2 linked regions of the Lepisosteus oculatus genome follow. The protein of the gene in region 1 interacts with the protein of each later gene in a pairwise test. Links are inferred from orthologs where the notes say so. Each region holds a gene or a part of one and is shown on either strand. Other genes may lie near its edges. The genes, in order: cep72 and pin4.

What was found.
Region 2: the proteins of cep72 (region 1) and pin4 interact in binary tests that used the Homo sapiens proteins (3 or more experiments, as listed by UniProt). The two-hybrid records come from large-scale screens. The link is inferred for Lepisosteus oculatus from reciprocal best matches to the Homo sapiens genes CEP72 and PIN4.

Annotation. Positions count from the first base shown.
Region 1 is NC_090705.1:17,236,658-17,253,723, reverse strand, and holds the start of cep72 (centrosomal protein of 72 kDa), read left to right. Parts: upstream 1-9,174; 5' UTR 9,175-9,269; intron 9,270-9,566; 5' UTR 9,567-9,641; coding exon 9,642-9,750; intron 9,751-11,367; coding exon 11,368-11,495; intron 11,496-13,222; coding exon 13,223-13,415; intron 13,416-13,888; coding exon 13,889-14,003; intron 14,004-14,089; coding exon 14,090-14,268; intron 14,269-15,831; coding exon 15,832-15,902; intron 15,903-16,445; exon of another isoform or gene 16,446-16,555; intron 16,556-16,747; coding exon 16,748-16,793; intron 16,794-17,066. UniProt on the Homo sapiens protein: Involved in the recruitment of key centrosomal proteins to the centrosome.
Region 2 is NC_090703.1:41,082,627-41,099,990, forward strand, and holds pin4 (peptidyl-prolyl cis-trans isomerase NIMA-interacting 4), read left to right. Parts: upstream 1-7,949; 5' UTR 7,950-8,116; coding exon 8,117-8,156; intron 8,157-10,351; coding exon 10,352-10,422; intron 10,423-10,792; coding exon 10,793-10,912; intron 10,913-13,281; coding exon 13,282-13,440; 3' UTR 13,441-13,741; downstream 13,742-17,364. Other genes in the region: mitochondrial ornithine transporter 1-like, read left to right, coding at 1,155-1,327, 2,634-2,792, 4,538-4,662.

The sequences.
Region 1 (17,066 bases):
CTGTAGCGCTCCCTGTCGCACCGTGGATGGATCAGCCTATTGCTGAATGTGCTTTTCATTTCTACAAGCATGTCATAGAGGGGATGGGAGACGTTGTCCATGATGGCCTCTAGTTTGGACACCATTCTCCTCTCAGCCACTACCTCCAGGGGGTCCAGGCCAGACCCAATTACAGAGCTTGCTCTTCTGATGAGCTTGTTCAGCCTGTTAGAATCCCCTGCTCTAATCCCAGAGCCCCAGCGTACCACTGCGTAGAAAATGGCACTTGCCACCACCGACTGATAGAACATATGTAGCATTTTACTACACACATTGAAGGACCTGAGCCTCCTCAAGAAGTAAAGTCAGCTCTGATCGTTCTTGTAGATGGCCTAGATGTTCTTAGACCATTCCAGTCTATCGTCGATGTGCACTCCCAGGTACTTGTACGAGTCCACCATCTCCACGCCACTCCCATGGGTGTAGATAGGAGTAGGTTTGACCCTTTTCCTCCTGAAATCTACCACCAGTTCCTTCGTCTTTGTAACATTCAATTGCAGGTGGTTCTCCCCACACCACTCCACAAAGCTGCTGACCAGTCCTCTGTACTCTTCCCCCTGCCCACCCCTGATACATCCCACAATTGCAAAGTCATCTGAGAACTTCTGCAGGTGGCATGACTTTGAGTTGTACTTAAAGTCCGAAGTATAGAGGGTGAAGAGGAACGGAGAAAGAACCATCCCCTGAGGAGCCCCTGTGTTACTTACTACCTGTTCAGACACAGATCTGAAGTCTCACAGACTGTGGTCTGCCTGTCAGATAGTCCTTTCAGAGTCCTTAATCCTTTGCGGTGTGCCTGTGTGTAGTCGTCTGCAGAGGTTTCTGTTCTCTAGTATAGAAGAGAATCTTTTCTTAGTTCGGAGTTATTGTTTGTTTTGCCGGTGAGAGGAACACATTCGGTTCTAACCTGCGGGCGTGTGGGGGTCTTAAAGCGCAGCCCTGATTAGCATCAGGTGTGGTAGCTACGCATTCCCACACACCGCGGAGTGGGGAGTGCAGCGGGAGGTGAGTTCCACTGTCACAAAAGCAAGATTATATTTTCAATTTATCCTTAAAAATCTTTATTTAACAGACAAGACTGTTTGGGAGCCATAAAACAAAATTCCAATTGCAGAGCCATTTAAGTAGTACAATCTGTGCTCCATTTTAAACTTGTCGCCATTTGAACTTGTCTTCTTCAAGTTTTAGAATGAGTAAGCTTTCTCTCTACTAATCAATTATTATTATTATTATTATTATTATTATTAATAATAATAATAATAATAATAATAATAATAATAATAATAATAATAATAATCTGTGCATTGCTTTGTATATTTTCTTTAAGGAGTTTCCCCTCAGAAAATTAAGGATAGGTTGTGCTGTAGATATAAATGAATACACTTTCACAGTAATTGTAAATCTCCCTGTACTGTTTAAATTAATAATGTTTAAATTAATAGTGCAATGTTGCTCAGAGGTGTGACCTCAGGAGTACACAGTAATGCTTCATTAAGGATATGAACCTGCTACATTCCAGTATCAATTACATACTTCTAACTACTACTCCATACTACATCATATACTATATTACTGTACATGCAGCAGATGCACTTCTATAGGACTGCAGTGTTTTTTTAAACTGTATATTTTAAGTGTTCTGTTTGCATTCTACTTTTCCACATACAAAATAAAAAGAGGTAAAGAACACAAACTTTGCAGAAATATTAAGAATTGTCATGTAATGTAACATTATGAGCCCACAAACAGAAAAGGTATTTTCAGTCTTCTTATCTTCTTGCGTGACCATAGGAGATGAAATTCAAAAGATGGTTTATTGTCAGTTGCGTGATTCATTGAGGACGTGCCCAGCTTTTAACCTCCTGAGGTCAAGTCAGGCCTCAGTAGGCAAACGCAAATGACAGAAGGAACAAAAAAAATGTGTTTACTGTAATAATACTGCATATTCTACCTAAAAGGGGATGCATGTGGTTTCCCTTTAAGAAAGTGTATTAAAAGTATTCACCAAAGTATAATTATCCTCATTGTGCAACAAACATTTTGTATAACGGATGTATATTGTTTTCAACACCAAAGAACTGATCTCTAAAACTCTAGATAGAGTTAGGATGGTTAGTGTGCAAACAGGATTCAATACTAAATCAACATTGAATATCTGACTCACATCTATACAAATTACTAGATCTTATCATACCATCTAAACAAATCAGAATCAAACAGTACAACGATGTTATTTTGTTTAAATGGAAACTATTAATGGTGAAATTAAATTATGTCAACAATAAGATAGCTGATGATAGGACAAGAAAGATCTTTCTTGTGTTGATTTTCATCCTGAAATATTGCACAAGTGCACCACTGCTTTTAATTCATGTTAAGCTCTACAGTAAATGTACAGGACTATTGTAAGTGTAAAACAACAGATCACAAATACAAAAGTGAAGTATGTATTTTTCAGGCTCAGCAGTATTCCTTTCCGACTGCCAACTTCTAAACATCACAATGGAAAAATACTCTGCAGGCTCATCTATGATTTAAATGATAAAAACAAATTTAGACACAATGAAGGCTGAATACAACTTGAAAGTCAATGTATATACATTTCCTAAATAATACAAAGGTCTTAATGTCAGATTCTTACTATTTGATCTAATGCTGCAGTAGTTATGCATTGTAGATATGTTTATGAACTTTCTCTCAAGTTACCTTTCATTGTATTTTTTTATTATTGAAAGTCTGGGTATGTTGTATTAAGTGCATAAAATGGTTTCTGTTACACCACTCAGTACTTTAAGTAGCTGAGTAAAAATCAGTTTTAATCCTACATGTGGATTCTGACCTCACACAGAGGCTTTGTGCCATTAGTTTCTCCCCCAAGCACATGTGTATTTTGTCATGATAAACTAGACAACAAGCCAACCAGGCAGTATGAGAAGAGACTGAGAAAGAAGGAAGAGACATGTTTCCTGGTAAACTATTAGAATGTTTTTAGTTATTTCTTCACAAAACAAATACAATGTTTTAACTAAAATTGGATATACTAAGTGTGATCTCAATATCTTAATTAGTAGCCCTAATATTAGATTTATTTAAAATTTACATTGCAACTGATCATGTACAGTATATGGCTACATTCTTTGGATTAACTTAAAAGGACCTGTGAAATCAAAGTTGTAAAGTATAATACTGAAAACAAAACTAAGTATGCTGTGAGTAGTCCAGATATGTTTTAGTACTAACATTATGCTAGGCTTTACAGGCTGTTTGTCAAGAATAGAACACTAATCTTTATTTTACTTTAAAATGACATAAATGAAAGAGCAGCTAATTATTTTTCTGTGTCACGAAAGGCTTACAACTGCTTGTTTATAAAATGACCTCAATCTTTCCCAACCTTAAAGGGATGAAAGAGATGAAAGAGATTGATGTGTTTTGAGAAATTCTGTGTTTTTGTGTAACAGTTTGGGAGCATTTGTTTGTCATGTCTATTGCATTACAGTTTGGCCACTAGAAAAAGTCCAATCAAACTATCTGAAAGTTTTACTTTAAAGTTTTTAAATCACTAAATATGGTTGCTTTTATCAATATATGGTACTAAATATCTTTATTAAAACAGGAAAACTTAATGAAGCTGAAGATGGATTTGTAAAAATGGCAAGTATCATCTTTATAAATTCACAAGGAATATCAACACCGAAAAAGGAGGTAATCACTGAGAATAACTCAACTGAATATTACTGTATTGATTTTTTTCTGCTGAGTAACCATTAGCCTGGAACACAGGATTCTCCAGGCATACAGAGCACACAAGGTAGTAGTTTCCAAGATGCATCATGGGCCTGCAGTATCATACTGATATCATTAAAAGTGTTTTACAGTAGGTTGGGGATATTCAAACAAAATTGTGAGCATTGCAGTTTTAGAGAAACATAATAGAAAACCTCTATTTGGCTCTCTCCTATGTCATTTATGGAAGATAAGGTGACACACAAATTATTGACGTTTTGCTCATCTCACTGTTCCACTGCTGTAATGAAATATTTTACTCATAATGACTAACACATTGAGCATACTTTAAAAACTCCAAGAGAGACTGCTTCAGAACCTCCGGTGGTCTGATAGTCTGCATTCTTTGTCACTATAGACCTTGACATACTGAATGAAAGAATTAGGAAGGATGCTTTCCCTTGGCAAATTGGAGAAAACAATTCATAGGAAAACAAGGAATTAATACAGGATGGGGAAGTTTATACAATAGGTGCTGGTTCAGTAAACATGGCTTGTTTCTCCTTCCTCATTCCTGCATTCAAGTTCAAGTCCTCATTCAAGTTCAAGTTCAAGTTCATGTAACAGAACACTCCTTTTTGGATTGCACTGTATTGTGTTGTTAAAACCCCTATCCAACACACAGCATAATAGATGGTACAGAAGAGAGATTGCACCCAGTGACAGAGGTTGACGATCGTGGGCCCTGGTACAAATACTTTTGGTTTCTCCCACTCCTCAGACTGTACTTCAAGCACCATAATAAAGTAAAATAGCGAAAACACTCTTTGCAGTCATGTCTTCTTCCTGTCTTTTTCCATAAAACTTTGCTTTGTAATTAGCATATTTAAATATCACAATCAATATATTTCGCATACAGCTGCAGTATAAGTGGTATAAATGCAATTGACTCATGAATGCTATAAGGAAATAATTATTTTCCAAAAGATATCATGTTTACCTCCCTATGTGTCATATTGTGCATTAAAAGTGGGTATCATTACAAAGATGTAGGGAGGCACTTACTGTAGATTCATGGTGTCCCATCCTTGGCCGGACACTGGTGTAAAATAGACTTTTCCCAGAAGTCACCGATTGACACCTATTTCCAAGATCCACTGACAAAAGTATTTTTCTAGGACACAGTCTTTCTGCAGAGAATGATTGAGAAAATCATACTGTCTGATCTAGAAAGAGAACAGTTCATTCCATTTCACATGTAACAATGGCCTATAAATGATCGTTGTGCACTGTGCTGGTTTGATTGCAATGGAATCTATCCAATTAAGATCCTGTTAATATCTTTTAAATACTAGAAGACAAAATTAACAAAATATGACTCAGCAAAAAAGGAGAGGGCACCCACCATACTGTACATTTAGAGCACGAGGATGGAACTGAAACATACAGTACATACTGTAAATGTGAGAACAATGTTGGACATGCACTGCTGTGTAAATGTCTTAGATGTTTTGCATGTTTTACTCTTCATACTTAGTGTTTTTCCTTAGAGGTAAGACTATGGAAGTATTTTAATGAAGTGATAACTATTGTGTTTTCTGATAATAAATAATCCTTATACAGCAAATATGTGTTTTGTTGTATAAAAACAGAATTTTAGATTCATGGAAGCATAGAGAGCAACAAATCAAGTTAATGATAAAGGGCACATACAATATACACATTCATATACAATTTACCTTGATTTGCTGTGATAGCGTTTTTTAATACGTTGTTCTACAGTATGTGAGTCATAGACTGCTAATTACCTATTCTCACCCAAACTAACCTATGTTTACTGAGACTCAACCTTGTTTGATTGGGACAATTGAAGAGTATGTTTTCTATTTTATCTAAGAGATTTAGTCTATATTTGTGCCTTTGAGGAAATATCCCGGAAGTTACTTTTGAGGGATATACCTTCCTGATTTGGACTTCTGAACACCCGACCACAAGCCAGCCATCAGAGTGATCTCAGTCACCCTCAACTCAAGACCTCCTGCTATGCACCTAATAAAAGAGAACTGTCTTTCACCGGTTTCCTTCACACAGATTTCAAAAGGGCAACTTCTGGTTAACCATGATATATTATGATTCTAAATGTCACAGACTCACCTACAGGCTGTGTCCCAGAATGACGGAAGTACAAAATTTATAAGACGGATCATATTACAGCAAGTGACTTGGAGAAATATGTTTTTCAAGATTTTCTTTCAGGAACGTCATTAATTGTCTTTAATCATAAACCTGGGTTGGGCAATCATGGGGGTTTTGAAGGTTTAGTGAACAAAAATAAACTGAACAGATAAATATAGACTTTGATTTTTACTCAATCCTGTGAAAATGGGTCTTTTAGAATATCAGTTCTGGGTTTTGACCCAACACTCAGCACAAACCTTTCCAACCATTGTGAAAATAGTAAGTGAAATGACACAAAGACTAAATACACATTTCAGAAGAGCACATTACTTAAAACCTTCTTGGTGCAGCCTTTTTGAAAAAAGAGATGCACTACAATGCTTTGTGAAGTGTATTGTGAGACGTCTGCGATGAACAAGTGACCGGAGCTATAAGAGTGAGCAAGATTTCCCGTGTTCAAGACCACTCAAGACAACCACATCAGTAGAAAGCCTTTCACAGAGCAGGTTTTATATTTTAACATTTTGGAAAAAGAAACACATTTTCAGAATCTTTACTTTTTCGTTACCATGTTTAGTTTAGGAATGTTCAATGCTGAGGAGAAAAATATTTCCTGTCATTTGAAATAAATACCTACAGTTAAATGTTAATAGTAAACTTCTTTCAATAGTTGCTGACTTACAGTACTTGCTTCTTTCTTCAGTTAGAAGTATGTCAATTAATAATCTAGCATTATTTTCCTTAATTAAACTTGACATCTTGGGATTACGTTGATCAATTTGAGGATGCAGGTTGTGAATGCTGAGAACAGAGACATTTACAATTGAAGAACTTCAAAATACAGTGCCTTTCCAATAGTTTGGTTATTACTCAGCGGATCTGGAATAAGGTGAAAATTGCCAGAACAGTGTTGAAACAAAACCACCAAGCATCATGCAAAGATTACAGAGAGATCTTATAGATCTTCCAGTAAGTGGGCAGACTTAACCTTTAACAATGACCTGAGGATATTCCATGAGAAAACATTAAAACAATAAGGTTACCTACTGTACAGTAAGTGCCTAAAAGTAAAATAAGAATCGGTGTCATGTGAAACTCCTTATGAATCTGCAATTACAGTACAAGTAATGTTAGCTGGAATTTAATGTCAAGACACATGATCCCTGCAATGGAGACAACTCTATCCATCATCACAAAGCCACTAATTCTTGGTAAGGGCTGTGGCAACCCAAAGTATACAGGAAACAGGAGCTCAATCACAAAGGGTGCCTCGTGCAGCTCTCATGGTAACAAATTTGAATACTTAACAAAAAAGAAAACACAATATACAAACTGCAGTGACAAATACTTAAAGCAAGGTGACACCATCTTGGAGTAAGAACACTGTCATTCAGGCCACAGGACAAACTCTCTTTTCGACTTTATTGTAAATAGAATAATAAGGGTACTTGAGTCTTTTAGTCCTTAAATCTTGGTAAAAGGATAATTTAGCAAATGTGATGTCCTATTATGAGTGCATATTCAACAGAGTCTTGACTACAGAAAGACTGGTATCTTAGATGTACATTTAGTTCTGAAATACACACTAACGAATTCCATGTTCTTTAGCTTAAAAGCAAATGAGACATAAGAACTGCAGCTCATTGTCTGATGTTAAACCCGTCAGTAACTGTACAGATGGACACTGTAATTCACTGTGATATCTTACAGCCAACATAGTTCAAATGTTACAAGATGATTTCCAAAGTAATAAGGAAGACTCCAACTTTACAAACTGCACCTTAATCAAAGTAAAATTGAACTGTATTTCTTTAGAGTGTAGTGTTGTGTCTTCAAAGTTCATTCTCGATTCTTGGGATAGGTCCAATCAAGAGGTCTCTTGAAAATAAAAAGAGATGTGAGAGTATGCAGGCACATTAACCATTGTCTGAAGAACAGTATTGATGAAAGAAGGAAACACAAGCATGGTGTGCTTTATTAATGAAGAGTCACTGTAAATGATCAACCAAAAAGCAAAAAAAAATCAGATATCAGAAATTTCATTCCAATTTCCTGATCCTTTCTAACATATCTGAGATTGAATTGTCCATGCTGCTTTGTAATGAATTTCCCTAATATTTAATCAATTTTATCTGAGTACACTGAGTTTATTTATCTTTAACAAAGTTATTTTAAACAATAACAGGAAAGGGATTTCTTCACTTGAAGTTGTAATTATTAACAAGCTCTTCTTTGCTTAACTTTCTTATTGATCGAAGCAAGAATAATTCAATAATAATTTGACAATTGTTTACTAAGTGCTGAACTAAAAAACATTCCCTGTTACCCATTGTTGGGGTTCTTTGCCTCACTGTTAAACCTGCCTTATGAGTTGTGTCAGTTAAATATCATATAATTGGATATAACCAGGATTTCTTGAATGACAGAGCTTCCGCAGAGGAGAGTACAGCTGTCAGTGATGCAGTAAGGTGATTCTATACGTTGAAAAGTTTTTTGGAGAGGAAATACCATTTTAGTTTCAGAAGCTCCTGATCTTTTAAAATCGATTGTAATGTGCCACAGTAAACTAATAAACTGAATATGAATATCTGTAGATTGTTAGTGCTCCATGTTAAGAGAAATGCTTTAAAAAGAGGAATATTTGTACATTAATCTAATTGTCCCATTTTGAGTGCAAAGTACTCTTCTTTTTCAGAAACTACAGAGCATCTAGTGTGCCCATTGCATCAATTAGACAAATTGTTTTCAGACACAAATGTCCATTTTACTGTGGATATTAAACATTATCTAACAACAATCTATTTATAGAGCTTTGAATGGGAATGAAACAATGTAAATGCAGCCCAGAAAGAAATATATTAGACCTGCTATGTTTGAGATATAGAACACTGAGTGCTAGAAAGTTAAATTATCTAAATACCTCTTCCTTTTTTGTTCTGGGAAATTACTGGCAGCAATCTCTGAAGTGAGAAAAACAGTCTTGAAACAACATTTCCATAGCTCCTAAATTGTGGTTTCATGTAAACTAAATACAGCCATCCATTTCGTTATTGCATTTAAATTCGAACTTCGAGAAGCCCAGAAAACTAGATGGACTGACGCATTTTAAATAAGTTAATGTCATCATTGTTTTAAAATATTGTGTGCATATTTACTTTTACACGCGTATAACCATTGCACGCTTCTCACATTTATCAGATGGGAAGAAGATACCGCCATGACATAACATTTTCGCGCTCCAACTTAAGTCGGTTAAGAACAAAGGTGTTCGGACGCCAGATGACCTGAGTGAAAAGCCGGCCGGGAAAAACAGGTTATTTCAAAAAGTAAGCGCGTCCTTTTTATTATTCAATATAGTGTTCACTTTCCATGCTGAATAAACTATGTTTATGTCAGCTCATAATTAAAAGGTTATTCTTCAGGCGTTTGTTAATATTCCAATATTTTCTGATATGAAATGAGTATCCATATGAAGTGGCAGCAGCAACAGCAAGATCTGATTTTTTTTTATTTCGATGTACTTGCTTTTCTGTAACCAATTACGAGGTTCTCAGAGTTATTGTGTGCATCTTCACCACTATTAAACAACAATAATCTCGCTGACACAAAACTGCTTTTTCTAGACTTCAGTCTTTTCAGTGGGATAAGTGGAGCTGCTGCAGCTAAACAGTGGCTCCTTCCGTCAGGGTGCAACGCGCATGCTCGCCCCGGTGAACCCCCCGACGTTTGAAAGGATGGCGGCGGACGGTCTGCTGATAACTGAGCAGTGGATACGAGAAAGGCTGCAGCTGCAGCACAGATGCTTGGGTAATCGCCACCGTCTCCCTGTGTCGCAACTGAAACGTGAAGAACACACACTCGAACGTTTTCCAAGCCTTTGCTAGGCTACTGCGTTGCGCTGCGAATTGTACGTTAGTTTCAAGCCCCGAAACGAAATTCTGTTGTTTCGGAGAGGTTGGATTGCTTGTTGTCTGCAGTCGTGCGTCAGGTGTACGGGTCCGTGTAGTTTGCTCTTCTTGTGCATCATAAAGCACGTTTCTTGGTTTCGATGCTGTCTTCTCTTACACAAAAGAACAGGGGCGCTCTTCTTTAAGGAGATATCAGTAAAAACCACATTGTCCTCGCGAAAATATTGAGTTTGTGTGGCTGACGCTTTAACTAGTGACTTACATTTGGATTTGGGTCACTTACTGTATACTGTAGCTGGGCATTTTAATGCTACAGTCTAAGGAAGCACTGTACGTAGGACTTCAACCTACATACAAATTGTAGAAGGATAGTTTGTCTGGGTACCAAACCATTAACCTGCTGTCGATTAAAAAGCCAACGTTTTACTGAACGAGCAAGGACAGACGTTTAATCTAGATGGGTTCCGAATATCAGATGAAAAGGCGCATTTTCGTTCAAAGAAAGACAATGCGTAGAAAAGCTCGATGTGTAACAACTGTGTACTATTTGAACTCGATGTATTTCTAACATTTTGCAAATCATGATCTTTTAAGAATAATCTTGACTACAAAGCATGTAACACTTCGCAAGTCCCAGCTCAACGTCCTGATCGTTTTTGAATGGGTACTAAATGACAAGTATTGTTTTTTAATTAGGACAGCATACAATCTTAAGTATCCGTTTTCATGAAGTTTCAACCCACTAAACAAAGCATTTTACCTTATTGTGGTAACGAGGAGAGGACTACAAAATTAATAGCTCATTGACGCAGTGTGATGGTTCTGTATATACTGTAAATGTGAAAAATGTTTTATTTTTGTTGTCTGTATCTAATGTGAGGTAAATGAAGATCCTCAAAAGTCTACTGTTTAGCTCCTCAGAGTCTGGGTTTGGGCAACTTTTAACAGAATTTTGTTAGGCTGTATGTTTGCTTTTTCTGTAACAAGTGAGCTTGTTTCTGCAATCATTATACCAATGTACACATTACTAGAAAGCATATTCCTGGGATCCCAGTATCATGACATCCCAGTACCGTGGACTGGACAGGACACAAGTACATACCGTATACTGGGCACACACAAGCACACAGTTACTATTGAAAGACTGCAATTATTACATATTTCCAAAAAACTTTCAAATGTGTTTTCCTTTTCTTTAAAAGATAAACTTCCCCCACTACTATTAGAAAAATAAAATACCCAGGAAATTTTCTTTCTCACATAGTTTTGCAACTCCTAAAAGCAGTACTACTTTTTATAGTGCGTTGGGTTTATGTACTGTAACCTTTACATCCCCTTGTCCAAGAAAGCTAACTAGATTTTCAAATGGCTACTACATTCTTGTTCAGTCAAGGTGTGTTACATGACATCCATGATTGTATGATATGTGAAAAGTTAATTGCTGTATCTTTAATATAAGCTTTTCTTTTTAAGTTTTTTCTTACACAAGTCTAATATAGAATTTCTTTGCTTCCAGCGGATGTCAGATCACTGTCTCTTCCAGGGTCCTATGACGTGAAGATCGCCCATGTGGGAAACTCTCTAAAGAACTTTGTTCATTTAAAGAATCTCGACCTTTCTCGGAATGCGCTGGTCTCGATAGAGGTGAATGGAAGCTAATGTTTGTCCAACTATGGCTTTATAATATAGTGCAGGGTGTCCTGTCGTGGTCCTGGAGGTTCGTGTCTGCAGGTCTTCGCTCCATCTTGGCTCTTAATCATCTCTTTATTGGCTTCTTAATTTTAATCAATTTAACAGCTTCGCTGGGCTCTTCAGATGTTTCAGGAGAGCTACAGAACCCTGTCACACTGGCCCTCCATTGCTATGAACGGGCACCTCTGATTCAGCTTATTAAAAGGAAGAAGAATATAAACTCCAGTGAATACAGATTAAGTACTTACAAGGGTATATTTGCATTAGATCAGTGGGTTAAAAACTGAATATAGATCAAGTCCCCATCTAGATCTCTGTTTCAGGTTACAGAGATAAATTCCCTTTTCCCTTTTTGGTGCAAAAGGCAGTTACAGTACATCTTAAAGTATTTAACCACCTGCATTGTGTTGAAAAAAACGACAAAAATCTTACGCATTATTGAATGTCAAGCTATAAGTAGTAACTAAGTGACATATCAAGGTCCTACGTGTTGATATAAACTTGAGTTCATCATAAGATTTAGAGAACAATCGGCTCATTTCTTGACAGATCACAGACTAATCTGCATCTGTCCAAAGTTTGCTAAAAGTATTATTTTTGGTTTGCTTTCTAGGAAATATCTTCTTATAAACATAATAGCAGTCAGATGATATGATTAGATGAATTACTCAGCATCAGTGGGTAGAGTATGAAGATAAGAAAATTATTTTGGGCATGTGTTCTGCTCATCATGTGTGAATCACAAACCTGTAAGCAGAAGTATGAAATACGTCTTCTTCCTGGAGTAGAAATCACTTTACAGGAATGAAAGATTTACAGGGTACCTGCCCCAACTTTGTCAAGACGCTTCTGCTTTCAAAGTACAAACAGCAGTATGCTGAGTGTCCCGATTCTGCTGTAGGGAAAGAGGAACTCTGAAGAACTTTGCTCAAGAATACAACATTTGTGTCCCACCCAGGATTTGAACACATAAATCTCAGGTCAAGAGTTCAGAGCCTTAACCACTACTCACTGATCGTAATGGGCAGCAACTCAAGCCAGCAAATTCAAAGAAATAGGTGGCTCTCTTATCTTTCCTCCCCCAGTCTTGCAAGCTGTGTCTGCTTCCAGAGTGTACTGTATGTTAGGTGTAAGTTATTGTAGGTCTATGTAGTAAGTAATGTTAGGTGATGCCTAGGAATTTAATACAAAACAAGCAGATAAAATACATCTGAACAAGTGTCTAAGACAGCTCCAGTAAGCTTCCTTAAAAAACAGTGCAATGTTTAGAAAGGTTGTTAGAAGGCTATATATATATTATTTTGCTCTGCTCTTTTGCCCACACTGCAGTGGCCTGTTCCAGTCTAACCCCAGTGCTGTAGTTCACATGAGCGAATGAGATGTTAGCAGATCAGTCAATCCTGTACTGTGTTCTGGAGGTCAGGGCCATTCTTCTCCATCTCACCTAGAGCCTATTTAGCACAGGTTTCTGTGGTTCTAAGATGCAAACCAAGTGGATTTTCACTCTCCTTCTTGGAAGGGTCTGGTGGTGTTCTGCCATGTTGACATTCCAACAGCAGATTAATCGCAGTGTCGCAGCTGTGAAAGAAAAATAAACTTTCAGATGTGCTGCTTCACCACTGAAAAGGAGACATTTATAGGTCATTTCAAAGACGTGGTTTGTTCATGTTTTTCTGCAGGGGATACAACACTTAAAGAAGCTTGAAAAGCTTAACCTCTATTACAACTGCATACCTTCCTTGAAAGCCATCTTTACCCTCCGGAAGCTGACTGCATTGAAGGAGCTGGATCTCCGGCTCAACCCTGTGACAAAAAATGACCCAGATTATCGTCTCTACATTGTTCATATGTTGCCCAACCTTAGAAAACTGGGTAAGTGTTTTGACCAATCACTACTGTCACTTGCAAGAGTAATTAATATCATATCACCAGTGCTTGATTTCTTTTCAGAGTTGTGTGTTTATCCTATAACAATGGCTAATACTGTAGGTGTTTATCCTATTAGCCATTGTTAGACTCTGTTGTCTTTTTCTAGACTATTTTACAAACTGTTAACATTTTTAAAATTACTAGCGTATATGCTGTGTTTAACTTTTACAGTGTCACGGCTTCAGCATATAGTCAAATTAGATGTGCAGATAACAGATATGTTACTGTACACCTACAGTAAGTTTAACAATTGAATCTATTTCAGTTATTTAGAACCTTCTTGCAATGTGAGTGGTGATTCACCTTTCTCTTTTAAAAGCCTTGTGAATCTATGACAGATTTGATTTCTCCTTTGTTTGATGCCTTGATTTTTCCTCATTCTGTTTTACTATTGCATTGGGCTGTTATTCCCCTAGATGATCACCCTGTGAGGGACAGCGAACGCAAAGCTGCTGTCATGCATTTTACTTCAGAGCAAGCTTTTGAACACCAGCACGGTTCTTCATCTTCCTCAGAGTCCAGTGTGCAGAGGTGCAATACTTACCTCTTCGCCTCACTAACCTTGCTGCATGTGTGCTGTATGTGCACAGTGTTTGATAATATCTCTTCTGGTACAGGTCCGGTCTTAAGAGGGCATCCTCTGTAAGGCTCTTCTGTAAAAAACGCTCTGTCCTTGATGAAGATGACGAAGCAGTGCTAAACCTTGTTGCCAAGAGTAACTGGGACTTGAGTAAACCTGCCGGCCTGACGGGTTCCACTAAGAAAGTCCCAGAAGTCGAGCTTTATCGCTTACGGGGTAAGATGTCTAATTAAGAAGTGGACATGTACAGATTTAGCCATCTAAACCAACTGGTCACCTCCTTTGATTTTGGATGAATGACCCGTATGAAAATGAAAGGGAAACTTAATCAGTGTGATTACACAGTAACGCAGAAATTAATTTTTGTGTTTGTGTTCTCATGAATGAGTTCAATCTGGTTTCACCTTTAGCAACTGAGCAGTGTTAATACATTGGTGTCCACACCTCCCTTTTCAGTACCGAGGGGAAAAAAAGAAGAAGAATTTAATATATTTTCTTACATGTTATAGATGAATGTAGTATTTAATAACAGTATTTAACAGAGGTAGGCATACCAGTGCATTCATGCAACACGTTTGCCCTGCAGCTTTGATCTGTGATCATTTAAATGTAATATGCTAAAACCACAGCTCAAAGCCATCCTTACATTCAGCAAACACAGTACTGGTTTTAACATTTTATTTCTTGAATACAGATAAACTAGGCTACCAGTCAAAAAAGCCACTTGAAAAGTGATAATGCTAATTCCACTCAGTCTGTGTTGCCAGTGAAAGCTACAACTGTGGATTGTGCTGTGGGGGAACTACTTCCCCTCTGGTTTTGCACATCATTTGTCCCACCTGGACGTTCTGGAGACATCTCACACCATTCCTTTTCTACCTGCCTGTTCTTCACACATTTGTGGTGAAGACTCAACAGTTCTCTGACAGTGCTTTTCGGTGCTTTTTGTGGCTCTAGTCATCTGTACAGTCAGTCACGTGTTGCAAGGCGTGGTAGCGTCTGAACTCAAGACAGAGCAGAACGGCACCTCTGAGGGGCAGGCTGGACCTGTCTGGCAGTTGCAGAGTCCAAGATCTGATCCCATACAGATTTAGAGTGAAAGCAGTGCTTTATATTTTGGATTTCAGGAGTTTGGGTTCAAAAAAGATTTGTTGAGCCTCTTAAGTATTAAATATTAAAATTAAGTATTTATTTCCTCCCACAACTAGGTCACTGACTTGACAAATGCTCATTGCGATATCCTTTAACCCAAGGGACACCTAAAGGGAAAATCTTCCAGTTTTTACAAGAGACAGATCCTTGTAAACAGGATCTGCCATCATACTAATACATGAAATGTGTATTTCAAACAAACAAATTAAAATTGTATGTATATCCTGTACATTCAGCAAAGTTATTGCAGTTTTTGCAATTGGAAAAAAATGCAGTTTTGTGGCATTTAATTAAATTAACAGTGTTTCTGCACCATCTGCTGATGGGAAAGTGGAAGCATTATTCTATTTTTTTTTTTTAAATGAGATTTTAAACCTGTATTGCTTAAACTTTTTTTTTCCATTTTGAAGCAGCTGTAATTGTAACCTGAGTAGAAGTTTGGAGATCAGCATGATTGGGAATAATTTTAACCTAGAGTCCTTAACCAATTTTACATTGGCTTACATTAAGTCTTTAATTACACCATTGTTTCATATAATTGCCTTTTGTACTTTTCTGTACAAATAATTAACTGCTTCTTCTGAGAGCTTCTCTTTTAGGATTTGAAAAGATGTTTTGTTGTTCCAGGTTACCATGGGCAAGATACCCATTATTCGAATGGCTGTCATCCTTCTGAAGAAAGTACCATGTTAAAACAGGTGAACACCCACTGAACAAACATTCCCACACATATTCCTGTTCCTTTATTATGTTTAGATTTGTAATAAGATATATCACGCATTGCTGCCTTGCAGCTCTGGAGGTCAGGACTTAATTCCTGGGTGCTATCTGCTTGAGGCTTATATAGTCTCCCAGTGTTTGGGTTTTTGCTAGGTGCTTCAATTTCCTCCCACAGTCCAAAGATATAATGGTGGGTTCATTGGCTTTTGTAAAATTGGCTGTGATCTGAGTGTTTATGTCTTGCAAAGGACTGGTGTCCTGTCTAAGATGTATCCTGCCTTGTGCCTATTGCTTGCTCCTCCATGACCCTGTATTGGATTCAGCAGTTTGAAATGCAGTTTGGTACTTTGTAAAGCTGTTCAGGTGTTTTACATTGATTTTGAGGTAGTCGCTTTTCCTGGTCAGTCCACTGTGTGGTGAATGAGAAAATTAAGTCGTAGTACACAGAAAAATGTTTGTTACTCCATAATTAAAAAAAAATGGCACAGAAAAGGATGCACATTTAATTCCGTTTTATCAGCATACTCTGTTTCTCTGCATATAGTATAAATCCTTTGCCTTTTACTAAAGATTTCCGTGGAGAGGAGCACGTATGAGTTCCATTAATATTCACTTGTATTTCTTGAGACGGAACATGAAAAAACCTTTTTGTTTTCATCTTCTGTTTCAACACGTTCTGTACAGGTTGTTTCCAAATCATTAACAACTTTTTAATGGCAGCTTTACATTCTTGAGTGTTCTTTTGATCTTAATAATAATACTACTAAGTTGCACTAGAAGTATTCTGATTACTTGGACTGATGTGTTAACTTTTGCCATTCAGGATTCACCAACATCAATCCTCAGAAAGCAACCGGAAATGAAAGAAAGTGAGTCCTCATTACTCTTCTTTTCCTAATAACATTCCCCATAAGCATAGGTGTAGAAATGCATATAGAAACTGCATATACTTTAAGAATGTTTATTATATTTTTTTAAAGTGTATTTCTACGTTTGCATGTTTATATTATAATCTTATAATCTTAAATAGTCCACTTTTCAAAAGAAACATAGTCACACGTTTTCCTCACAAACAGGAAGATAACAAATAATAGGTTATTCATTAACTCATGCTAATCCACATTCTGGCAAAATAAAAAGCA
Region 2 (17,364 bases), on another chromosome or scaffold:
CTGCGTGTGTCTGAGAAAATGGGTGTGTGTCCTTCAATGGACCGGGGCCTTTTGCCTTTTACCATGAGCCCCGAGGACCCAATTCACTGTCTAAAGGATAAAGAGGAAAACAAAAATGCATGTACAAATATAATATGCTTTCCGGATGGTCTCTTCTCCTACATATTCATTTTGTTTTGTACCCTTATCGCTTAAAGTACAATTCCACTGTGTTAAGGCTATTGGTTTCACTGTGCTCTTGCTTAGCTTTGTGCCACTTGTAAAGCTCTGTATCTCCCAAGTTGGGCTGTGGGACTCTTACTCAGCCATACCCTGGCTTCTTTTTAAGACATGATTGAATGAAACAGGGCTAAATGGGACAAAAGTCCTCCTCTCTTTTTCAGTCTTTTTGTTCAATGTGTATTTAGAAAACCAAACACCCATGTTTATAGTTTAACAGAAGGTACAGGCATTTAAAGCTGTGGTTCGTTGGCTTTTAAACGTATATTTGAGGTCAATATTTATAGGATCATCCTGAGAGTTATAATGCCAGCTTTTGAGTAAGCATTAACTGTAGATTTATGTGACATGTTAAATACCTTTAAAATAAAACTGGGCAGTGGAAGTACTCCCAGTTTACTGTAAACTTCCATCATCCTGCTATCGGATTGTGGCCGCTATTAATATGATTCTGTCAGACAGATGTGGGTTTTACCCACTGTTTTATCTTATTTCAGACCAACAGTGTATGCGTATTTATGATGGAGTCACTATTTTCAGTCCTCCCTCCCTCCCCGTCACATTCTTCCATAGATGTTTCAGTAGGATAAAGATCGGGGAACTTGCAAGAGCCACACAGATTTATCCTAGACTGTTTTTTTTTTTCCAGATTTTTAAGGGGATCATGATCACGATATCGCATAACTTTCAAATTAAACCCAAACCCCTCCATTTTATTAGCATTGGTCAAACCACTGCAGTGACATCAGTAGCATGCTGGAAAGTGCCTTCTCTAGACTCTGAGCATTTTTACCTTTCAGTCATTGAAAGCTGCACCTCCATTATGTGAAAAAGCAAATGGCATAGGAAATTGACATGAACGTGAAACGGGGTGGTTCCTGTCTTTCTTCTTCAGGGCAGGTCTGAGGTGTTCATCTTTCTCTTCTGTGTCCCAGCTCTGCCTGGTCTATAGTGAGGGACATCATGAAGACTGATGGACCCCAGGGCTTGTTTCAGGGGCTAACAAGCACTTGGCTGAGGGAGGTGCCCGGTTATTTCTTCTTCTTTGGAGGATATGAAATAAGCAGGACCTTTTTCACTAAGCCGGGAATGTCAAAGGATGAGTTGGGTGAGGCTGGACTACTAGTCTTGGAAATGAATGATCATCTCTTCAGCTGGAGATTTTTAATGAGTGTAAAAGCTATTGTGGCTTGCAGGGGTTAGGGAAACGGAGGGGAGAACACTTTCATAACAGATCAGAATACAAAGTGAAAATATGCTGACGGTGTACAAACACGCACACATCTCGTATGTCTGTCCTCGAGTTCCTCCTTTCAGATTTAGCTTTGAGGTGAAGCCTTCGATTGGGGATTTCCGCTGGGGAGATGTATATGGCACAAACTGTCAAGAGCCCTTTTTAAAATGCACTTCACCAAAATCCAGTTTATAATCCATTTCAAGAAAATTCTAGTTTTTTTTCTGGGGATTATTATCTTGTACTGTAATTCTTATTGGTAGGATAAATTTATAAATAGAAATGATTGCCTGTGAAAACGGGCTGTCAGTGGATTTTATTTTAAAGAGAAATTCACTTATCTCTTGCAGCTGAAAGGCAGGCAAGCCATGAAGACAGAGGGGAGTAAAGAAAGACTTTACTAAATGAAGCAAGTAGGGTCCCATTTAGCAAACCTGGATTGGATTACTTTGCCTTACAGAAACCGCCTTAAAATATATAAAATTAGATTTGCAAGACTTGTTTAGAGCTGAGATCTCAAACTCCTTTCCTGGAGGGTTCCAGTGCATTGTAGCTTTCTTTCCACCTGAGCTTTGTTACTTATTTGGTTTAATTGCTTGATGAATTGGATAATTATATAGCTCTTTTCCAGGCCTACAGGGCTTTAAAGACACTATACCTGGAAATAATTGCATGAATCAAGCGACTGTTGGTGGGGGAATTAAATGCAGTACACTTTGATTCATCTAGATGGAGAAAATAATTAAATTTGTCCTTAATTAAATTGAGAACACAAACTACAAAATTAAAAACAAAAGACATTGTGGCCCTCTAGGAACTGAGGTGGAGACCTCCTGGTTTAGAGAAGTAATCAATGGTATTTTTTATAGGTCTTAGTAGTTGTAAAATTAAGACACATTGGTCAAACTATACAGAACCATTTTAATAAAAAACCCACTTGGGCCTGTATTACTCAATGAAGCATCCAGGATGTAAATTAGGGAGTCTCTACAAGCAGGTTTAAAATTTTATTTTTTTAATGTAGTAAAATGAGGAGTTTGTTTTTTTATTTTTTATGCTGTCCTCTTAAGGTAAATTCCTGGGAAATGTTAACATAAATATGGCCCACGGTATTAATGAGTGGGTTGCCCCGTGTGGCTCATGGCGAAGTCTCACTGCCCCTCTGCCCTCCTCCATACAGATGCAGCACTGCTGGTTGTGAGTGGAGGCATTGGGGGGGCATTCTTCTGGCTTGCGGTTTATCCCATTGACTCAGTGAAGTCCAGAATCCAGGTTCTGTCCATGAGTGGCAAGCAGGCTGGGTTCCTCGTGTCCTTTATCAACATCCTTAGAACTGAAGGTAAGAAATATTGAGCTGCCTTGGGCAGACTTTGCTTGTTCCTCGCTAGCAGGCTTGAGTTGGTCAATAGCAGAGGACTACGGGGTACCGTGTCACATGGCAGCCCAGGGGGAGAGCCTCTGAGCTTTTTGTGGTCTAGGGAAGGTGATCCAGTCTATAGCTCACTCTCCTTCCTCTGGTCTTTCCACCTATATGGAACTGGAACCTGGTGAGGCAAGAATCTGCTTGTACTGTTTAATGGGCTGCTCAATGGCAGCATTTACATTCATTGCTTGAAATGGCTTTAAATGGCAGTTGTTAGCACTGGGGCCCTGGGTTCAATTCTGGACCTGTGATCCTATCTGCATGGTGTTTGTATGTTGTATGTTCTCCCTGTGTTCACGTGAGTTTCCACTGGTTGCTCTGGTTTCACAGTCAGACGTATTGGTACAAGTAGGTTTGTTGTCTATGGGGAAAACTGGTCCTTGTATAAATACAGTATGTGCATGACTGTTTGTGTCTGGCTGTCCTGCGATGGACTGACATCCTCTCCAGATTGTGTCCTTTGCTTGCCGGGATTGGTTCTGGCTCCCCTGCGACCCCGTAGTGGATGAAGCGCTTTGAAAATAGCATAAAAAGTTAATCTATCCAAAGGCTACTGTCAAGAGCTGCAGAGCCCTTGGTCAAGTCCAGCAGGTTTCTTGCATAATCATGAGATACTTTGTTGTACAACTAAAAAACACAAAGTGGTAAAGAAATTGTTGAAATATACAAATCACTGTACTCTAAACCGCAATCAGTAGCTGAATGTTCATTGTTATGAAATGTTTATGATGTACAACTCACTGTCTCAGGGAGGCTTCCTAAGGATAACATCCTGGTTTCTGATTTTTCCCTCTCCTGTCCTCTGGTAAGTGTAATAGGATCATAAAGGCACGTTCAGAGACCGCTTCTTCAAGCAATCTCTCAGATTTATGGAATTCTACCTCTACCACTGGCTCACACTGATGTGCACTTTTAAGTTGTATGTTATTTACGTTTGTTGTTTTTGCTGCTGCTGCTGCTGTTCTGTGTTTAAGTTTAGTGTTTCCTTAATGCCTTTTAGTTGGAACATGCATGAAAAATAAACTGAACTGATTACCTGACAGAGCACATTCAAAACTTTCTGAGTGCTTTGTTCTTAGGTGAGTTGTAGGGTGATAACCAGCAGCCCTATCACCCTGCAACTCGCAACCAGCAACGCACTGAAGCTAAGCAGGTGTGAGCCTGGTCAGTACCTGGATGGGAGACCTCCTGGGAAAAACTAAGGTTGCTGCTGGAAGAGGTGTTAGTGGGGCCAGCAGGGGGCGCTCACCCTGCGGTCTATGTGGGTCCTAATGCCCCAGTATAGAGAAAGGGGCACTAAACTGTAAAAAGGCACTGTCCTTCGGATGAGATGTTAAACTGAGGTCCTGACTCTCTGTGGTCATTTAAGATCCCAGGGTGTTTCTCGAAAAGAGTCCTGGCCAAATTTCCCAGTGGTGTTTACCAGTCATGGTCTCCTAATAAGCCCCATCTATGAATTGGCTTCATTACTCTGTTCTCCTGGCATTGTGTCTCCTCCCGAATGAGAGCTGATATGTGGTGAGTGTACTGGTGCACTATGTCTGCCGTTGCATCAGAGGTGGATGCTACACATTGGTGGTGGAGGGGAGTCCCCATTACCTGTAAAGCATTTTGAGTTACCTTTTATAAGCAATTTATTAATAACAATTCTTCTTCTTCAGGTGTTACAGCCTTGTACTGTGGACTGACCCCCACTGTAGTGCGAGCATTCCCTTCCAATGGAGCCCTTTTCCTTGCTTATGAACTGACCAGAAGAGCCCTGAGTGACAAAGTAGCTGCTATCTGAACACATGCCTGGTTTGAACTGTTTTAATTACATCTGCTGTCATATCAAAATGTTTCTGCACAAAAAAGTATTTTAACACTTTTATTGTAAACTTTGTAAATTTTGAAATGTCTGTGTTATTCTATGCCTTGTTAACTGTATTATTGATGTTTTGTAAAATTTTACCCTTTTTCAGGCACTATTAGAATCCTAAAAGGTATAAGAATTTAATTGGGGTATTTGATTTTGATTAAGATTTGTGGAGCCACAGTTTTCACATTCACTTTAATAAGAGGCAGGAGCAGAATTTCATGGTGCTGTGCTCAATTTGTTTTTGTTTGAATGCAACAAGGCTTTAACACTTCATTTCTGTAAAAAAATGTCTTTTAACCTAGCCGTGTACTATTACAAAAGTGTTTTACACAAAAAATAAAGTTTTTAATTTAATTTTGTGACTCTTTCTATTTCCTCGCTGATTTATTGAACTGCATCATTATGTTCTGGATTTTGTTCAAAAAATAATTTTTATAACCATATATAGGATTTTTCTTTTACAGTTTATTACTCAAAACATTCACTTTGTTAAAGGCACAGTTACCTATAAAGCGCCTCAAAGCTGGGTTAGAATTTTTACAGTTAAGTAATTAGACCAGCTGTCTAACAAACTATGAATGCACACAGACAGATTTAGAAACATTTATGAACTAAACAAGAGAACTATGGTAACCAGAGAACACCCATGTAGCTGTAAGGAGAACATGCAAACTCCACATAATGTGCTCAGGCCAGAATTATTTATAAAACTGACTAGCAGTTCTTGAATTAATTTTGTTTAATGGTTAAAACTGTAATCATGTAATCATTTGAACAGCTTTCTCTGAAGTGTTATGGAAAATGAACTGAATATACAGCTTTAACAACAAAGTTCCTAACTTTGGTTTCACTTCACATTGTATACAAACCATTGGTTTTAAGTTTGCCGCTTGACATTTTACAGTATGTGGTTTTTGAGGGCAGGATAAATATCATGTGCCCTAGTTTTTTCCACAGTGGGATGACCTGCTATCATCAAAAACCATCATCGCCAATTTTATAATTAAGTTTTATGGAAAGAACACCAATTAATGAAACCAAAGATAAAGAAATACAGTTTTCAATGGTAGTCTTTGACTAAAAAGAGACATCTTCAGATATTGATTTAATCCGGTCAGTTACGAAAGCTCAGGTTACTTAATAAATATTTTTCATTTTTAAATTGTTGAACAATGCTTCAAAGAATACTGCTTTAAAATCCCATCTTCCTTAATTCTTTTCAGCAAATATTTTTTGTTATTTTATTAGATCACTAACAATAAGTGAAGGAATTATTCTGGCCTTGGATTTGATGGTTTGCTTAGTAAACATTGGCTGTTGTGCCATAGGCATGATTTAAGTTTACACACCCTGTTGGAGCTATTTCAACCAGAAAGTCCTCACCTTTGTTTTTAGGAACCATTTTAAAATGTCTTTTCAACATTGTCCTTTTAGCCTGAGCCAGGTTTGCCTTATAATTGAAAAACACAGCTGTCGTTGTGTTAAAATAATTTATCAACTTCTATATGCAGTGAAGGGATCGGGGCTGAGGTAGATCACACTCGGCAAGAACATTTATATAGATGACTTTGAAAGTAATGAAGGGCAACAGAGCCAAGGAATTGGGAAGACTAGACTATCCCACGCTATAAATTCCTGAGGTCTCCTTCAGTTAAATTGGAGAGACTGTCATTAGAACACACACAACATGTAGACTTCAGCACACTCACCCTAGTATCTATAAACGAGAATGACCCTGAAGGGAAAGAACACAACATACAGAGCGGAGAAAGTGTCAGTGTTTTAGACAGCCAGGGCATTCAGGCTGGACAGAGATCACATTGCTGTGGTCAGTGTGGGAAGAAATTTAGTCAGTCAGGCAGCATTAAAATACACCAGTGAATTCACACAGGAGAGACCATATTGCTGAATTCATTGTAAGAAGAGGCTCACTCACTTAGAACAATTTAAAAACCTTCTGCGTATTCACAAAGGAGAAAGACCATGTTTGTGTAACCAGTGTGGCAAAAGCTTCAGTCGATAAGAAGGTTTAAGAACACACAAGCGAATTCACACAGGGGAGAGACCATACAGCTGCAGTCAGTCGAGACAACTGAAATACCGCCAGCAGATTCACAGAGAAGAAAGAGTATACTGCTACCGTCAATGTGGGAAGGGTTTTTTGTTGTCAAATGACTTGAAAAAGCACCAGCACACACACTCTGGAGGGATGTACTGTTGCAGTCAGTGTGGGAGAAAATTCATTTGAATGGAAAATTTAAAAGTTCACCCACAAACTCACAAAGGACAGGGCTCATACTGCTGCAATCAGTGTGGAGAGACATTTGGTCAGTCAGTACATTTAAAAGCACATAACCAAGGAAAGAGAAAATGAACGTGCACAAAGTGTGGGAAACGTTTTAGAAACTAAAGCAAACTGAAGAATAACTAGTACTATCAGTGGTGATAGTGGAGACTCTGTAGCACTGTCACCAAGTCGTGTGATATCGGAGACAGATTATTTTTGCTATAACAGATACAAGCCTATTTTATGATTATTTAAATTAATTTTTATTTATATTCTGAATTTATTAATTTATTCATATATACATTTCTTAACCTGTGTTCTTAGAAAGCATGTTGCATCTGTGCAGTATTATTAACATTTCTCATCAGATTGAAGCCTGTCCTTAACCTAGGAGGTGACAATGAATTCTGTCTACCTGTCAGTTAAACTGCAGGTCTCTCCATTCTGCAGCATGCCATGGTGCTCAGCTCAATGGTGCTAATAAACCATTGAACACTTGCTCAAACCTGTGGATATTTCTTATCCATGTGATTGTGTACCTTCACAAAACAAATAATTGCAGTTTTTTCGTAGGTATATTTTTATTACTAGGCAATTTGTCCTTAACTACAATTGATGTTTTAAATTGTGCACATTCATTTACAGTATAATTGCAGTAAATTTACTATCTAAATAAATGCTTGCTTTGAGAATAAATAATTTTTTATGTGAAATAGATTTTACGACTACCGTGCTTCATTCATTGAAATTCCATTAATTACACAAAGCACACACGAATAGAGCAACTCGCAGGCGTTTTCAAACCTCCTGGCTAGGTGGCGCTAGTGTGATGAGGATTATATCTGGGTACATACACACCTCTGTAGGCTTTCACTCTTTGGTTGTTGTGTCGCTGCTTTACTGCTCCGGCGCAGGAATTCTAGCGATGCTGTGCGACTTGTCGCGATTTATTGACGTTTTTTCCTGCTGGGCTCACGCTGATTAACCTGGGCAGAACTGTTGCAGTCTGCAGACTTCTGTAAGTCTGCGTGTTATGAGCCTTGTTTTTATTTTAAATATTTGAAAGTTTTTCGAATTGAAAAAAAAAAACGGACAATGCCGCCGAAACAGGGAAAGGCTGGCAAGGGAGGAAAAGGTAAACAAAGTTGTTGATTTATTATTTTTATTTAATCCACACGGCATTATTAGCAAGAGACTACTAGTTGGGGGCTGCTGCAGTCGAGGAGGTCCGTTACATTTTAAATGAAATGTTGGTTACTCGCGTTTTTTTTTGTCAGGTATTTTAAACATTTGAATTTAATGTGATTTAAACTGTTCTTAATCTATGCATACACCCCGTTTGCTAAATCCCTAGTTTACAGTGTCCACATGTGAAAATACGTTATATGTGTGTCTCCAGCAAAACGTATGTAACTGTATTTTTCCCCGAAATATTATTCTCGGGAACTACATAATACTGTGTACTGTATTTAGATCACATGGTCTGACTGATCATTTCTGTGCTTATACTACTCAAATCTAAGTACATACAAACTTGACACGGATGTGGCTGTCTCTGCGCTCTCCAATACCTGGATGACTCAAACGTAAAGTACGACAGGACTGACGTAATGCTTCTTGCCGCCTTCTATTACCTATGTAAAGCCACTGCAGGAACCCCATCTGTGGATGGCACTGTACTTGAATTTCAGTCTAAGTTGAAGAACGTCGGGGTGATATTTATTCCCGACTTGACGTTTGATCCACATTTGCAACATATTTAAAAAACATCAAACATATCAGAAATATCACCAGGCTATGTCCTGTATTGTCCCTCGCTGTAGCTGAAAAGCTTGTCAACACATTCGTCTTCTGTAGCATTGATTACTGTATCTAAATCCACACTGAACAAACCTCAGAATGTCCAGAATTCGTCAGTCGGAATGCTGACCACGTCATATGCAAGTGGTCACGTTAATCTGGTCCTGATGTCCTTGTACTAGTGGCTTCCTACTGTATAAGGTTTTGTGTCAACTCATGCTCAAAGGCTCTACATGACTTGGCCCCTCAGTACCTGTCTGAATTATCATCATCATCATCGCAACCTTTCTTCATCTGACTCTGGGTGTCATACGGGTGACAGGGCCTTCTCTTGCTATGCCTCTGAGCTCTGGAAATCTGTCCCCCAGGATATCAGAGAATCATCTTTCCCGAGCGCTTTCAAATCCAGACTCAAAACCTTCTTCAGAAGGGCTTTTATTTAATTGATGTCCGTGTCGGCCCCTTTGTATCTTCTACTGCATTCTAAACCTTTCTCTTTCTTTGTGCTAATTTTGGGATCTCCTGTCTTTGGGACCTCACATGGTCTCTCAACACTACCTGTCTGATCAAGAAAGCACAACAGCGCCTGTACTTCCTAAGACGGTTGAAGAAGGCTAAGATATGTCCCCAGATCCTCACTAACTTTTACAGATGCACTACAGAAAGCACACTGACAGGCTGCATCACAGTGTGGTATGGCAACTGCAGTGCTGCTGACCGCAAAGCCCTACAGCGGGTGGTGAAAACTGCCCAGTCCATCACTGGGGTTACCCTCCCATCTATCCAGGACATTTATGACAGACGGTGCTTGAGGAAAGCTCTAAGCATAATCAAAGACCCCACACACCCCAGGTACAGACTTTATGATCCTCTACCATCTGGAAAACGGTACCGGAGCATTCGGGCCCGGACTACCAGACTCAGAGACAGTTTTTACCCCCGCACTATCAAACTGTTAAATTCCCAGCCTCTCTCACTCTCACTCTCACCTCACCTCTCACCTATGATCTGAACCTCAACAGTGCCTTCTTCCTTTCTTTCTTACCAAAAACCCAAACACACATTGAAAATCTACCTCTACCATACATGTCAAAAGCACACTCCCCATAATTTCTATCCCTTTATTTTATTCTGTTGATGCATATTTTTGCACATAACCTGTTAACTTTTTGTTGTTTTGCACATTGCCTGTTGTTGTTTTTTGCACATTGCCTGTTGTTGGTTTTTGCACACTGCCTGTTGTCTCTGTCTTTCTTTTGCAACACAATTGTATTGTTGTTGTTTTTTTTTCTCTTTGTACTACTTATGTCCGAGAGCTAGCTAAATAGCATTTCGTTATACCATATACCATGTATATGAGTATAATGACAATAAACTTGAACTTGAACTTTGTTACTGTTTTTGTTGTTTTAACTCTTTTCTGTACTTTTCCTGTAAAAAATCACTGTGAGAAGATGCCTTTAAAGTGCTATATAAATAGTTGTTTTTTTTACCACTGTATCTGTGCTGGTGTCTTTCTGCCATGTTTAGGAGCTGGCGCTTCTGGAGGTGGTGACTCTGAGAAAAAAGAAAAGCCGCAAAAAGGGGGAAATGCAGTTAAGGTACAGTGGCACCGTTGAACTTTGTGTCAGACATTTGTAAAGTTTTTCATCTCCAGTGGGGCATTAAAATGGACTATTATAACTCGGTGTTTACCTCCCTAGCGTCAAATTGCCAAAAAGCATCCAACTTTGTTAACAATGGAATGCTTCAAGAATAATCTTATGATTATGAAATCTTGTGCAACGTTGAATAAATATGTTACGAAACACTTCATGGGATCTTGTGATAGTGTTTTCAGATGTTTGTATTGGGAAAGCCGATTGGCAGTATAATACCAAAAAGAATTCCCTTTCTGTACTTTTCTAAAGTTTACTGTAGTTTGCATGTTGATCCCCTCTCTCACACACACACACTTATAATTTATTTCAGGTCCGACATATTCTTTGTGAAAAACACAGCAAATCAATGGAGGCCATGGAAAAACTGAAGTCTGGGGTGCGGTTCAGTGAAGTCGCCTCACAATACAGTGAAGACAAAGCGAGACAAGGAGTAAGTGAGAAATGCATCTAGATGAGACGGGCTAAAACAAATGACAGATTAGAATACCTGTAGACAGCAACAGAGTTCCAGATTTTCAAGTTTCAGATTTTTTTTGTACCTGAGTACAATTAAATGCTTACTTTATGTGTGTTTCCACACATAACAGATGGCATCTGAAATTGTTGGAGACCAGAACATAAAAAAAAGCATGTACGCCAAAAAGATAGTGGAAAGCTGCAGTGTAAAATACCAGTAGCAGCCGTATACATGAGAAAAGTAACAACTGTAATTTTCAGCAGCATTCAATTAGTAGTAATATGCAAAAAACAGGTAGTGACAGTGTTGTGAGTTCAGTCCAAAAATAAAGGGGTATAAATGGGAAGTAGGAGAATTAAGGGGTGGTATTAAGAAATCTTATGGCCGAGAAAGACGTTTTCTTTAAAACTTGAGGTTTGGGCTTTTATACTCCTCAATCTTTTGCCACAAGATAGAAGAAATGGCATGCCCAGGGTGGTGTTGATCTTTAATTCTATTATCTGCCATTCTGAGGCAGTGTGTACTGAAGATGGGATGAATGGAGAGGAGTTCCATTCTGTAGCTTTTTTATGGTTGTGTTCTGACCAATTACCATAACAAACTGTAATGCATCTGGTGAACATGCTTTCTCTGTTGTACATTTGTGAGTGATTGTGAAGACATACCAAATCTCCGGAGTTGTCTAAGGAAATAGAGGTGCTGGTGTGCTTTTGTGATTACTTCGTCTGTGTCACGGGACCAAGTCAGATTATTGATGAAGTGAATGCCCAAAAACTTGATGCTGCTGACCATCTCCAAAGCAGCTGTGTTTATATAGTGTGGCCTCCTCTCTGCTTGCCTAACCTAAGAGGATAGAATGCCCTTAGATTATAATAGTATAGAAAGAACAGCACATAGATTATAATCCCTAACTGAAATAATAAAATCACACATACCTTTGCTACTATATGTGAAAGTACCAAATTAATAAATAGTTTTGCAGTCCATGAACATTATATTTAGTAATTTGTTTTATCCCAACCCCTTCTGCACAAAAAAAGTAAGCATGACTAATTAAAGGCTTTATTCACTGCACTTTTTGTAACTGGTCTTTTATTAGTCATTGCCTCTCACCGCCACTATAAGAGTCTAATGCTAACTTCCCTTCAGTGCATGGGAGATGTTAATTTTTTTAAATTAATGTATTGAACATGGCTAATTTAATATGAACCAGATTCGGTACGTTCAAGTCACTTCTCAGAAGTGGGCCAATTCCACCATACACTCTAAAGAAAGAAAGGTGAAGTCAGTTAAATTGAATGGTTCTCAAATTTTGGAACAGTATCTTATTTAGGGTGAAAAACATGTAGATGTAGGAGACCAAGCCATTTCTTCACTGTGGATGAGTAATGGGTGAAATGTTTGGAAGAACCGTAGTGTCAGGTGTTGTGCTGAAATTTGTGTACTGTGAATTTAAGAATCAATATTGAAGCTTTTCATATCCAGTTCTCACTCCAAAAATAATTTCCATTGTGAGCTCTGTTTATTTACAGTGTGGCAGCATTCTCAATACTGGCTGTTCAGATGTGCAATAACCAGCTCTTAGTTTCTTATCCCTTTAGTTGCCTCATTGAAAATGTCTTTGCTTACCTAATATACCTGTACACAACAGTCTGGTAAAAATCATCTTGTAAATTATTATTGGTGAAATTGCAAAAGGAAACAAAAACTGAAAAAAGAAAGCCGTTTTACAAACTACAGATTAAAAAAGTCATACTGATCCCTTTTTGTTGTGAGGATGAAGCAGAGTCTTCACAGAATTCGCTTGGTCTTTCCTATTGATGGGGTTGTATGAGCAGTAAATGTGCAGAGCACATGATGGAATTGAGACTCCCATATACACTAGTAAAAGCTGAATAGACATTGTCCCATTTACATATAGATAAGTGATGTTGTAAATACTGGTTTTTATTCACACTTTTGGTCACTGGATGGTGTATTTTCTCAATTTTATTATCTTCTCAATTGTATACAGTACTACAGTATTTTAGTGTTAAATTTACATGAATAAAAATCTCGTATATTATGGTAAATTATGAATAGCAGTAGCCATTAACATTGTTTCAACGTCTCTATACCTTAGAATCGCTTTCACATAATGTTATGGACACAGTTTATGTTGCTCCTGTATAATTTACATATTCTTGTTTTTTCTTTGTTACATTTTTGGTAGGTACAGTATAATCATGGTCCTGTGTTTGCAGTGCAGATTACTGACAGTTTTCTAAGTTGAGCTTTTTGGTTAGGAATTCTGTCCAGTTGTACAATAAATGCTGAGCTGGTCTTTCCTCTGGGTGTGACAGGGGGACTTGGGCTGGATGACCAGAGGCTCTATGGTTGGGCCTTTTCAAGATGCAGCTTTTGCCCTGCCGGTCAGCACCATGGACAAGCCTGTGTACACAGATCCGCCAGTGAAGACCAAGTTTGGGTATCACATCATCATGGTGGAGGGCAAGAAATAATGCTTCAGGATTTGAAGAATCAAGCTGGGCATCATCCCCTTGTTTTTTAAAACATTATTTATTTTTGGGAGAGGAGTTCAGAACTCATAGAGATACTGCTTGTTTGATGTAGAAATCTTAATACCATCATAAAACTCTCAAGAAGTGGTTACATGCAAGCATCACGATGAGGAAAACGTTCATAGCTGTTAAAAAACACAATCTGCTTTGATTTCATATGCAATTGTAAAACACTTTGGATACATAAAGAAAATGAGTGTGGGTAGGGATTGATTTGGAAAATAAAATCCCAGTAAATTCACTGCTCTTTTCTTGTACCAGATTGATTTTGAATGGGAAAAGGTGACTGTGTTCTTTGTGCATAAAATGGGAGGACTTTTGTGACAAATAAAAATAGTTTTGCACTGCATTTCATATAACAGTAAAAAAAAACAGCTTGTGTAGATTTTCCATGACTTTCTTCGTCCTGTTAAGAAACAACTCCTGGAATGTTTGGGGAAATTTTTTTATATCTATTTTGTATAGTGCTCTCCTTGATGTCTTGAGAGGGCAGCAAGATCAAAACTTGTTTTTGCTTTAGAGTCAAACAGTTTTTTTTTTTACCTTGGGATTAAAATGAAAGAAAAGTACAATGTATGTTTTATTATTGGGTAATTCCATGCATATATTTGATTTATTGGAACAAATACATATGATACCTCAGTTCTGGGGGACCATAAGTAGTGTATGGAGACACATTCACTTTAAGTAAAATTTAGAGTGAAGGTCAGTATTGGATTGCATATTCGTGTTAGTACTTCATTACGAGCAACATCACTTATAACATGTTTAATTATCTTTTATAGTAACATAGAAAAATCAGACATTAGAGGCTACATTTTGATATGATATGACTACATATTCATATTCTGTATTAGTTCTTATGAAATCTGCCTTTTAAGATATTTGAGTATTTTATTAAAGTTATTACTTCTTGGGAACTTTAAAACCTGTTCTGACTTTTTTTGTCAACAACAATATTTTTTTTGTTTTAATGTATCTTTATTGGGATTTTTGCAACAGTAATCTTTTTAAATAAAACATGGACCAGATATATAATATGGTCTAATATATAAATCACTACTTTTTATGGTGTAATGATAGTTTGTGGTGTAATGATAGTTTCCAAGAGAAACATTACTTAATATTGTGCATTAAAGAGAGGCTATTAAATAGTTTTTGTTTTACTACATACTACTTATGCGACGTGCATACTATGGAGGTACGTATTCATAAAGATAAAAGGGAAAGCAGATGTGTCTAACATAATTAATAATTGCTTACACTTATATAGTGCTTTTTCTGGACACTCCACTCAAAGCGCTTTACAGGTAATGGAGACTCCCCTCCACCACCACCACCACCAATGTGCAGCATCCACCTGGATGATGCGATGGCAGCCATAGTGCACCAGAACGCTCACCACACACCAGCTATCAGTGGGGAGGAGAGCAGAGTCAAAGATGTGGATTATTAGGAGGCCATGATTGATAAATCCAATTGGAAATTTGAACAGGGTTACACCCCTACTCTTTTCAAGAAACCCCTGGGATTTTTAATGACCACAAAGAGTCAGGACCTCGGTTTTACATCTCAGCCGAAGGACGGTGTCTGTTTACAGTATAGTGTCCCCGTCACTATACTGGGGCATTAGGACCCACATGGACCACAGGGTGAGCACCCCCTGCTGGCCCCACTAACACCTCTTCCAGCAGCAGCCGTAGTTTTTCCCAGGAGGTCTCCCATCCACGTACTGACCAGGCTCACACTGCTGAGCTTCAGTGGGTTACTAGTTGTGAGTTGCAGAGTGTTAAGGCTGCTGGCTAAACTTAAGCTCCTTATGTGAATTACATAATGGAGGAAGAAATCGAGTTTACGCTTCATACAAAAATGAGCTTCGTCTGATTTTATGGGAGCTCTTGTCTGCTGCATTCTGGCAAACATACGGTTAACTGTGCGTTTGTACCAAGTTTCTCTGCCTTTCATGGATCTGGGTCACTTGCAGAAATAAAGAGATTTTCGTTAATCTTTTAACGTCGTTTTATATTTTATAAGCGCGTGAAGAGAAACAGTTTAGTGAGAGATGAAAAATGAGGTGCAAAAATCCGAGAGCTCTTTTCATGAAAGAAAGCTCCTCCAAAACGCATTTATTCTGCATTTCACGTTACCGCCTCCTGCAATGCTTTAAAAAAAAGGTTAGCGAGGCTCGTTGAAGGTGTGGCCATTATGTCAGCGGCTATTGGCTACAAAAGGATGGAGTCAGATGACGTCCTATTTCCGGGTTTTCTCCGGAAGGTGAGAGGTTACTTTCGGTCAAACATTTCTTCGTTCAGAGAAAGAAGCAGCTCTTGGCCGGCGTGTCACAGGTAAGAATTAAAGCCGGCTGTCACTAACGCTCTCGTTAGTTTTACTACTGTCATGGCTAGTTACTGTGTATTTGCTGTATTAGCCTAATATACCTAACTGTCAACAATATTTAATATATCCGAAAAGCTAAGCGAAAGTTATCTCACGCCTTTACATTAAAAACATCCAGTAGTCCTAACGTGCTTGCCTCATGAGGAAGCAAAACGTGTCCGTAACTGTACTAGTTCCTCTTGTGTGCTGGGACGTGTCTACAGCGAGAACTAACGTGTTTTAGCGATTAGACAGGTAGGTCATATCTTGACTGGCTTTGTGAAATAAATAAAACGAAAGTGATGGGAGCACTTAGTTAAACCCGATTTACCAAAACTAGTTGTATGCGTCTCTCTTAATGTGATTTTCGCTTCCGTGATGTATTTCCATCATTAGCCGCTGCAAGAAGAAAAAGCGCCACGTTAAGAATAACATACCGGAAGCATGATCAGGACCTCGCCTCTGGCAAGAGAAGCGTGACAGTTTCAAAATAATCAATGCTGTCCGCGCAGTAGTCTGAAATTAATAGTTAGACAGGTGATTGTTGTCCACGCATTGTTTTCTAACGCTCATAGCTGTAGATAGCTCTAGGGGATCAGAATACGGTACCCAACAGAAGTGATAGTGTTTGCCCTATAATGTTTTATTCATCTAAACGGTCGTGATGAAAAGGAAATAGATTTTATCGAGAATTGTAAGGAATCGGTAGCTTGATTCGAATTTTTTACGGGTTTTTCTTGGGGAAAAAGGTGACCATTGTTGATTTTAAATGAAATCTTTGGTATGTTAATGAGCGAAGACGATCTGTAAAGACAGTGTTACCAGATAGTTTTACCCTTTATCTTGCGTGCATCAAGTGACACCGGGTCCAGTCTGCGATGTAGGTGATAGCCATATTTGAATCCCTTTTTTTGTGTTCTATAATATAGTCGGATTAGGAATATTGAGTCAAGAAACGTCGCTTTCCTGTCGGTAAACACCGTTTTCCTGTAAAAAGAACCCTTAAAATTAGTTGATTGGAATTTGTTTTATAACGCTTTCGATTAAAAATTAATCTCCTGCGTGAAGTTAATACTTTGCCCTTAGATCTCGGAAAACACACGTCATGTGAAGGTCTATCATGGTACAGTTTGGCAATGCTCTTGTTTTAGATCTAGTTCGACTTCATATAAAGGGGAAACTAATGACTAAAGACAGAAAAGCCTTTCAAAGACCATGCAAACTCTAAGATAAACTGTAAGAGTTTTTTTTAAAAAAAGACAAGTACTACGGCGGCCTGATCAAGCGCCATTAATTTCGAGACGTATGAGACAGCTCTCCTTGTCACAAACCCACCCCCTACGTTTAAATTAAAAGCAGATCAATTTACGAATGACAGTTGCTGTCAGACAGAGCTACCCTATCAGTTGTTAGTTGTTAGCTGAATCCAGCAGCACAGTAATAGAACGAAGACATCCGACGATGTCGTTTCTATAGTGACGATGGGGC